Saccharomyces cerevisiae S288C: one gene and its partner. The protein of the gene in region 2 purifies or fractionates together with the protein of the main gene of each other region. This does not show direct contact. Each region holds a gene or a part of one and is shown on either strand. Other genes may lie near its edges. The genes, in order: MLC1 and MYO4.

Region 1 (2,870 bases), on a different chromosome or scaffold from region 2:
GAAAAGACCTTTTCATCCCTCTTTGATTGTGACCATACGACAGTGGCATCCCTCAAAGCGGACAGATCAGCATTGGCTATATATTGTTGGCCCAATTCATTCAGTTTCTTGACCAACTCCAGCCATCTATCCAGAATCTCTTCATTATTCGTGTTGTCTATGCTTCCCAATGATTTCAGTAGTATTCTATATGATATAATAGTTCTTGGAATATGGTACAAAGTATAGTTTTTATCGATAAAATCGATTATGCTGCGTTCGTGCCAGATAGATGCTCTAGTTAACATAACGTTAAAAAATGGTTCATCAATTTTTTTGACCCCACTGTAAAACGTTATGATTTCTTGAAGCTTACGGAAACCATTGATATTGTCATTAATATAGTTTTCGAAGAATATTGTGAAAAAAGTGTTGTTTAGTGAGGACAAAATTCCAGGATTAACAGTGTTACCATAAAATTTTACAGCCTTTTCCCATATTCTATAAACATGATCAAAATCGTTCTGTGCTTTCCATATATTCTGCAAAAAAGAGTTCACTGTAGAGACTTGTAAAATAATCTTGTATGGCATTTCATCGTTGATAATTTTGTCAAAGAAACTTTCTGCCAACGTTAAATTCTTGGAATCACCAATGAAGCTTAAGTGCGTTTCAATTAAATAACCGTAATTCCTCACTTCAGCCTTTTCACATAATTGGCCGAAGAGGGATAATGCCTTTTCGTAGTCTTCCGCCTTGATGAAGACTTTTATCAGTCCGCTGTAAAGATTGGGATGGATAAATTCTTTGGATTGAATAATTTGGTTATATAGCTCGTTAGGCTCAGTCAGAGAACGCGTTTTTGCATAAAGTAATGGCAGCATAAAACCAACCACTTTTGGTTCTTGGAATGCCTGTGAAGTAGTCTCGTCGGACAAATTCTTTGACGCTTCCCAAATTCGAATACAGTCATCGTCAAATGACAGCTCTTTAAATGAAGTCAATAGATGAGTAGCTCCATATCCGCTGACAGACACCTTGCCTATCAAAATGTCATCAGATATATCCTTTAATGAATTACATAGAAAGTTCATCATTTCCTTGTGAAAAGATTGCGAATCGTAGTCTGGCTTTCTACTTAATTTTACCAATTGGTCTCTCGTCGACCTCAGACCGTTATGCAGCAGATGAATCAAACGTGACACCCGGTACGCATTGAAATCAGGCGATTCTCTCAAAGAATAGTATAACTCCATTGCTCTGCCCATGGAGTCCCAAAACATGGCGAATGATGGATTTTTATTCAATTGGTTGTTTCCTATTCTTTTGTATGTATTTTGCAAAGGCGTGGTAGAGTACTTTAAAGCAGATGATACACACTCATCAAACGAAAGAAGCTCGTGGCGCCATGGAGAAGCTGGATCCACATTAAACACATTCTGTTCTGTTTTGCGCTGTTCTCGCCCATTCTTCTTGTCCAAAACGCCCTTAGGTACATTTTTATGAAATATCGGACTGGAGTGGTAAGTACGGTCGCTAAGAACTACGTTGGCAAGCTTACCTCTCAGCATTGCTATCGAACCGGAGTTAACAACGTTGCTTACGCTTATTTCCATAGTTTTTAACGATCTCACCGCATTTCTTCTAAGCATCATTGTCCCTTTTGCAGTATATGGACTCTCCGAATAGTGTAAGAAAATGACACTGAAACCTCACCTTCTTTTACTTATTGCTTAGACCCTCATTACAATGCCATACTGAATACATTTTTTCGAATCTTGTTCAGTCAGGAACCTCAACCATATATCATTACACACGAGTAGTAACAAAAGCATTTTGAAGTAAGATTTGAAACAAAATAATACTCAGAGTAGATCGACGTATAAGAGTTCCTTCCCCAGCGTATTCCGCCACCACCCATCGCACATACATAGAATAACAATGTCAGCCACCAGAGCCAATAAAGATATTTTCACACTATTCGACAAGAAGGGTCAAGGCGCCATTGCCAAGGATTCCTTGGGAGATTACCTGAGGGCAATTGGCTACAACCCCACCAACCAGCTCGTACAGGACATCATAAACGCGGATTCGAGCTTGAGAGACGCCTCTAGCTTGACGCTGGACCAGATTACAGGCCTAATTGAAGTCAACGAAAAGGAATTGGATGCAACTACCAAGGCAAAGACAGAAGACTTCGTCAAGGCATTCCAGGTCTTCGACAAGGAAAGTACAGGCAAGGTATCCGTTGGTGACTTAAGGTACATGCTAACTGGCTTGGGTGAAAAGTTAACCGACGCTGAAGTAGACGAGCTGTTGAAGGGTGTTGAAGTGGACAGCAACGGAGAAATTGACTACAAGAAGTTCATCGAAGATGTTTTGAGACAATGAGAGTGCGGAACTGCAAATTTAGACATTTATTACTATATAACAGAGTCCTATCGACATAAAAACGAAAAAAGCGCCATTATGCAATGAAAACTTGCCAGCGGTTTTTCATTTTTCATACTGGTAATTCAGAGAGCCAAGTCTTTCTTTATAATGCATAGCAATAAATAGTCATATATATATATATATATATATATATATGTACATATATATGAACATATATATGAACAAATAAATGATAATGGTATGTGATAGTCATTATTAACGATTAAGCGTTTTTCTTCAGTTTCTGAGGGATTCTAACCGCTTGGCGATTTTGCAAGAGATAAGAAAATTTTTCAGTCATATGGATAACCTAACACAGCGTGCGACGTATTTTACTTCAGGGCCCAATTGAATAAGAAAGTATAATATAGAGTTTCAAGAGTCAATGTCCGATCTCGTTACCAAGTTCGAATCGCTTATTATTTCAAAGTATCCAGTTTCTTTCACTAAAGAACAAT
Region 2 (6,981 bases):
TGTAATTTTGCCACGTTTGTATTTATTGTATCACTCAAACGTGCCTCAAATGATTCGGGGTTTTCCTTGTCAAAATCCTGTTTCAAATTCATTAAATAATCCTCTTCAACAAGCTCTTTCCATCCAATGGTCCTGGATCTTAAGTCCCTTAGCTCTTTAACGATCTTGTCAAAATTTGCAATGTTTTTAACAAGGTCATTTTCATCTTTCAGAACCTCATCTTTCAAACTGTGCTTTAGTAAAGCTTCTGTCTGCTGTAACTGCAATCCGATATGACGCTGATAGTAGTCTAATTCATCTGAATTTAGCGAAAGATTCGAACTACTATATGTGATATTTCCAGGAGGTTCAAGAGGATCAACAGCCACTGACTGTGAGAATGACGTCGATGATGAAGACGATGAAGAAGAAGACAACGAAGATGAGGACGACTGCGAAAACGATGCATTGCAGGCGTCTTTTGGCGAAAGCCCAATGGGATTAGCAACGGCAGGAGAGGATTCGGAAGCTACAGAGGGCGGTCTTGAGGGCGAAACATGTTTCTTTGGTGAGCTTTCAAGATCATGGTAAAGCAAGCTCTGTAACGATATATCTGTCTGCGTGCTAGAACTCCCGTCTGATGAATGCGAATGATGTGTGGGTCGCTTGGAAGGCTTAGATATAACATTGGGCAATATTGGATCGAAAGCCGGCGCCAGTGCAGACGAATCCTTAGATTGCCCAGACGAAGAAGGCTCCATGGATTTCAAAAACCGGTGAACCAACCTTTTCTTGTCCTTCACGAAGGACCGGGAAGGTGATTTAAGACCGTACTTGTCGTTGTCTTTGTAATGGCGATGGGCTGGGTGCTGCTGGGCTTGCAACATCTTAAATGAGGGAAAATGGTCTTTGGCAGAGTATCCACCATCGAGAGGCTTTGATTCTACACTATGCTGCGGGAATGGTCCTTTAAAGGTGGCGACTACGTTAAATGGGTGTTTTGGCGAGAGTCCAGAAGACTTCATCGTACTGAGACTTCGTACTTTATCTGGTGCTGCGTTGAACATACAATCGCTGAACATTGCGGTCGAGGCAGACGTGTAATCCGGAATAACTTGACGATGCAGTTTATGACGAGCATGATGGTGCTCCATTTCATATTTCTGCTCTTTTTCGTGTAATGCAGCCAAATTACTGTGAGAGGCTTGCCATCCAACGTTTGGCTTAGTTTCAACAGTAGATTTGTGGCCAACATCTGGTGTTCCAGCGTCAATCATTTGCTTTACATCTTCCAGGGGTCTCTTTTCTACACCATCTTTGCTATTGCGATCTGTACCATCTATTCCGCTGCCTTTAGAAGAGCTCTTTATTTGAGCATTTTGCATTGTACCTGGACAACTACTGGACTACGTAAAAAACTGCCATCAATTTGTGTTATTCTTACTCTTTGAGACAATGTTTCATAACAATAGAACAATAGCTTTTTGACCTTCCCCTTATTTTATTTCAAAAGGTAACAGTTAGGGCTATTCTTAAACTTTCTTTAGGGTACACAATGAAAACATCAAGATTGAGTTAAAACCCTTAAAATAAAACTAGGTCTTTAAGAAACTCACTCTCCGGGTTATCCATAGAATGTTTACCATTCTTTAGGGTTCTGAACTAATGCGAAAAAAAAAAAAGAAAAGACTGAAAAATTCGAAAATATCTCGAAGTTTAGCAGTAGTAGATGAGAATAGGGTCTCTTTTATCGAAAACCTGCAATTGTAATACAACCTTTTTTTGAAAGTCAGCCTTTATTCTGATTCTGCATACTCAATTCCTCAATTCCTACGGAGTTATCACCTTTTTTTTTACCTTCTCTTCTTTTCTTATTGTTCTAGCTGAAAACATTGTTACCAGTTTGGCGAGACAATTTATTTTCAATACGATACCCTTTTGTTCTTCTTTTTATAATTCAATCTAATTCTAAAACACAAAAAAACAAAAAAAATCCTATAACCAGTTCTCCCGCATGTCATTTGAAGTAGGAACTAAGTGTTGGTACCCTCACAAAGAACAAGGCTGGATAGGCGGCGAAGTCACCAAGAATGACTTCTTTGAAGGAACGTTCCACTTAGAGTTGAAATTGGAGGATGGAGAAACTGTATCCATTGAAACAAATAGCTTCGAAAATGATGATGATCATCCCACGCTACCTGTACTACGAAACCCACCTATTTTAGAGTCTACTGATGACTTAACCACCCTATCATATCTGAACGAACCGGCAGTGCTGCATGCCATAAAAAAAAGATACATGAATGGACAGATATATACTTACTCTGGTATTGTCCTTATTGCCGCTAATCCCTTTGATAAAGTCGACCATTTGTACTCTCGCGAGATGATACAGAATTATTCTAGTAAGCGTAAAGATGAGCTGGAGCCGCACCTTTTTGCCATAGCAGAGGAGGCGTACAGGTTCATGGTCCATGAAAAGGCTAACCAGACTGTTGTAGTCAGTGGTGAATCCGGTGCTGGTAAGACCGTCTCTGCTAAATACATTATGAGATACTTTGCCTCAGTCCAAGAAAGCAACAATCGTGAAGGGGAAGTGGAAATGTCTCAAATCGAGAGCCAAATTTTAGCTACTAACCCGATCATGGAAGCCTTTGGTAACGCCAAAACTACCAGAAATGATAATTCCTCTCGTTTCGGCAAATATCTGCAAATTTTATTTGATGAGAATACTACCATCAGGGGGTCCAAAATTAGAACCTATCTCTTGGAAAAATCCAGGTTAGTTTATCAGCCAGAGACAGAAAGAAATTACCATATTTTTTACCAAATTTTGGAAGGATTGCCAGAACCGGTAAAACAAGAACTGCATTTGTCATCTCCCAAGGACTACCATTATACTAACCAAGGTGGACAGCCGAACATAGCTGGTATAGATGAAGCTCGAGAATACAAGATAACCACTGATGCCCTGTCATTAGTAGGTATAAACCACGAGACTCAGCTTGGAATTTTCAAAATTCTTGCAGGCTTGCTACATATAGGTAATATCGAGATGAAAATGACTAGAAACGACGCATCACTATCATCGGAAGAGCAAAACCTGCAAATCGCATGTGAATTATTGGGTATTGATCCCTTCAATTTTGCAAAATGGATTGTCAAGAAACAAATCGTCACAAGGTCTGAAAAAATTGTCACTAATTTGAATTACAATCAAGCGCTAATTGCTAGGGACTCTGTGGCGAAATTTATTTATTCCACGCTTTTTGATTGGCTAGTAGACAACATTAACAAGACATTATACGATCCTGAGCTGGATCAACAAGATCATGTCTTTTCCTTTATTGGTATTTTAGATATCTACGGGTTTGAGCATTTTGAGAAAAACTCATTCGAACAATTCTGTATAAACTATGCGAATGAAAAATTACAACAAGAGTTCAACCAGCACGTTTTCAAATTGGAGCAAGAAGAATATGTAAAGGAGGAAATTGAGTGGTCTTTCATTGAGTTCAGCGACAACCAACCTTGCATAGACTTGATTGAGAATAAACTTGGAATACTTTCTCTATTAGATGAAGAAAGTAGATTACCATCAGGCTCAGATGAATCATGGGCCTCAAAACTATATTCTGCCTTTAATAAACCGCCCTCAAATGAAGTTTTTTCGAAGCCAAGATTCGGACAAACGAAGTTTATAGTAAGCCATTATGCTGTTGATGTAGAATATGAAGTTGAAGGGTTTATTGAAAAGAATAGAGACAGCGTTTCCCTAGGTCATCTGGATGTTTTCAAAGCAACGACAAATCCAATTTTCAAACAAATTTTAGACAACAGAGAACTTAGGAGTGACGATGCTCCTGAAGAGCAAAATACTGAAAAAAAGATAATGATCCCAGCAAGATTAAGTCAAAAGAAACCAACCCTGGGATCTATGTTCAAAAAATCGCTCGGGGAATTGATGGCCATCATAAATTCTACTAATGTTCATTATATTCGTTGCATAAAACCAAATTCTGAAAAAAAGCCATGGGAGTTCGATAATTTGATGGTCTTATCGCAATTAAGAGCTTGTGGTGTGCTGGAAACAATCAGGATTTCATGTGCAGGCTTTCCATCAAGATGGACTTTTGACGAATTCGTTCAAAGATATTTCCTCCTGACGGACTACAGCTTATGGAGTGGAATTCTTTATAATCCAGACCTCCCAAAAGAGGCAATCGTCAACTTCTGTCAATCTATTCTAGATGCTACTATCTCTGATTCAGCAAAATACCAAATTGGTAATACCAAAATTTTCTTTAAAGCAGGAATGCTTGCATTTTTGGAAAAGCTAAGGACTAATAAAATGAATGAAATATGCATCATAATACAGAAAAAGATAAGGGCAAGATACTATAGGCTTCAGTATTTGCAGACCATGGAATCAATAAAGAAGTGCCAAAGCCAAATTAGAAGTTTGTTGGTTCGTACAAGGGTCGATCATGAGCTCAAGACAAGAGCTGCCATATTACTACAAACGAACATTAGAGCATTATGGAAACGGGAATACTATAGAGCTGCCATTGGGCAAATAATAAAACTACAATGTACCTGTAAAAGAAAATTGATTTTAGATAGTGTTAACAGGAAATTCATGCTCATGGCGGCAGTAATTATCCAAAGCTACATCAGATCATATGGTCACAAAACAGATTACAGAACATTGAAAAGGAGCTCCATTCTTGTACAAAGCGCCATGAGAATGCAGTTAGCTAGACGAAGGTATATAGTTCTGCAAAAAGAAGTTGAAGAACGGAATATTAGGGCTAGTTACGGGATTGGATTACTGGAGGAAGCTATCGAATTTAAGAACTCTTTCATTTTGAATCTAGAGATGTTAAATGACTCATATACAAGATTAACACAGTTGTTGCAGGGAGATTTGTCAAATATTCCATCTAAGCAAAGGCAAGAGTACGAAACGATAGTAAATGGTTATAATGATAAGATTTCCAAGCTGAAGACGTTACAAGTTGAAATCATGAATACTTTAAACAAGAAGAATGCCTTGAAGGAGAGAAAAAAGAAGCAATCTTCTTTAATACAGTCACATATGCAAAGTTTGGCTGCTATAAAAGGTAACAAACCTTCAAGATTAAGTGATGAAGTCAAATCAATGAAGCAAGAACTAGCGTTTATTGAAAACGTAATAGCACAAGATTTCACCACCACATATTCTGCTAATAAGAATGATAAAGTGAAAGGTTTGGGAATCGCAGGACAACAAGTAAAACCGAAGCTAGTCAATGTAATTCGTAGAGAATCAGGAAATCCTGATCTTCTAGAATTACTAATGGACCTGAATTGTTACACATTAGAAGTCACAGAAGGTTACTTGAAAAAAGTAAATGTTACTGAGGTGAATGGAGACAATGTTCTGGGTCCTATACACGTCATTACTACAGTGGTAAGTAGCTTAGTGAGAAATGGGTTATTGATTCAAAGTAGCAAATTCATCTCGAAAGTCCTATTGACTGTAGAAAGCATTGTTATGAGTCTACCAAAGGACGAAACAATGCTTGGTGGTATCTTTTGGTTAAGTAATCTTTCCAGACTTCCCGCATTTGCTGCAAATCAAAAAACATTATATGAAGCGAATGGTGGTGATGAAAAAGATAAGTTAACACTGATATATTTGAATGATTTGGAGAATGAAACTTTAAAAGTATTCGACAAGATTTATTCCACTTGGTTAGTGAAATTCATGAAGCATGCTTCAGCCCACATCGAGATCTTCGATATGGTTTTAAACGAGAAGCTATTTAAAAATTCTGGTGATGAGAAGTTCGCTAAATTATTCACATTCTTAAATGAATTTGATGCTGTCTTGTGTAAATTTCAAGTTGTTGACTCAATGCATACAAAAATTTTTAACGACACCCTGAAGTATCTGAACGTAATGCTATTTAATGACCTAATAACCAAATGTCCCGCGTTAAATTGGAAGTATGGGTACGAAGTGGATAGAAATATCGAGCGGTTGGTGAGCTGGTTTGAACCAAGAATTGAAGACGTTCGTCCCAATTTGATTCAAATAATTCAGGCTGTCAAGATATTACAGTTGAAGATAAGCAACTTGAACGAGTTCAAGTTACTATTCGATTTCTGGTATGCCTTGAATCCAGCCCAAATACAAGCAATTCTGTTGAAATACAAGCCTGCTAACAAGGGCGAAGCTGGAGTACCGAACGAAATCTTGAATTATTTAGCTAACGTGATCAAAAGAGAAAATCTGTCTTTGCCAGGGAAGATGGAAATTATGCTTTCTGCCCAATTTGACTCTGCTAAAAACCATCTGCGTTATGACACTAGTGCAATAACACAGAACAGCAATACAGAGGGCTTAGCTACTGTCAGTAAAATTATAAAATTAGACAGAAAATAAGAACAAAGTAAATATACGCCCATATATGTATATATGTATATATACATATATCCTACACTACATATGGAAGCTCCCTATATATATAGCATTGCGAGTGAACTTCTATCGACTAAAGTGAACAGCAATGGGGACGATGATTACAACAAGCAATATGATGATTACTAAAGCCAGACACATCTTCATTTTTAGATCCTTGTACCACATGGCTTTTCTGACCCTATTGGCACCCCTCTTAAAGCCTTGGGCTGAGACCGCTAGGTTATCGGCTTTATCTTCAATGGACGTTAATCTTTCACCTCTTTCTGCTACTTTATTTATGTTATCTCTCATTATTCCCACGGTATCATCAATTTCCTAAAAATAAACACGAAGAACGTATATGAATGTATACGCATAAGTATCAACGATGTAGAAAGTTAGTATAATGTTAATTTCCTAGATGGTACTCTGTGGCTTTCTGTACTTACAGCTTGTAGTTCCGCAGTCCTTGACTTAGACTGTACATTCTGGGGTCGTTCTTCATCGTGCTCGGATAGAGCATAAGGGTCAAAGGGAGTAGATGACGACATGGA

What was found.
Region 1: the proteins of MYO4 (region 2) and MLC1 purify together in Saccharomyces cerevisiae (affinity purification with mass spectrometry; 4 studies listed by BioGRID). This does not show direct contact.

What each region holds. Positions count from the first base shown.
Region 1 is NC_001139.9:304,640-307,509, forward strand, and holds MLC1 (Mlc1p), read left to right. Parts: upstream 1-1,920; coding exon 1,921-2,370; downstream 2,371-2,870. Other genes in the region: RMD9 (Rmd9p), read right to left, coding at 1-1,634; ARC1 (Arc1p), read left to right, coding at 2,798-2,870. UniProt on the Saccharomyces cerevisiae protein: Essential light chain for the class II conventional myosin MYO1. Also acts as light chain for the class V unconventional myosin MYO2 and for IQG1.
Region 2 is NC_001133.9:87,283-94,263, reverse strand, and holds MYO4 (myosin 4), read left to right. Parts: upstream 1-1,993; coding exon 1,994-6,409; downstream 6,410-6,981. Other genes in the region: FRT2 (Frt2p), read right to left, coding at 1-1,364; SNAP receptor SNC1, read right to left, coding at 6,512-6,763, 6,877-6,978. UniProt on the Saccharomyces cerevisiae protein: Part of the mRNA localization machinery that restricts accumulation of certain proteins to the bud and in the daughter cell. Recruited to specific mRNAs including the ASH1 mRNA, coding for a repressor of the HO endonuclease, via its interaction with SHE3.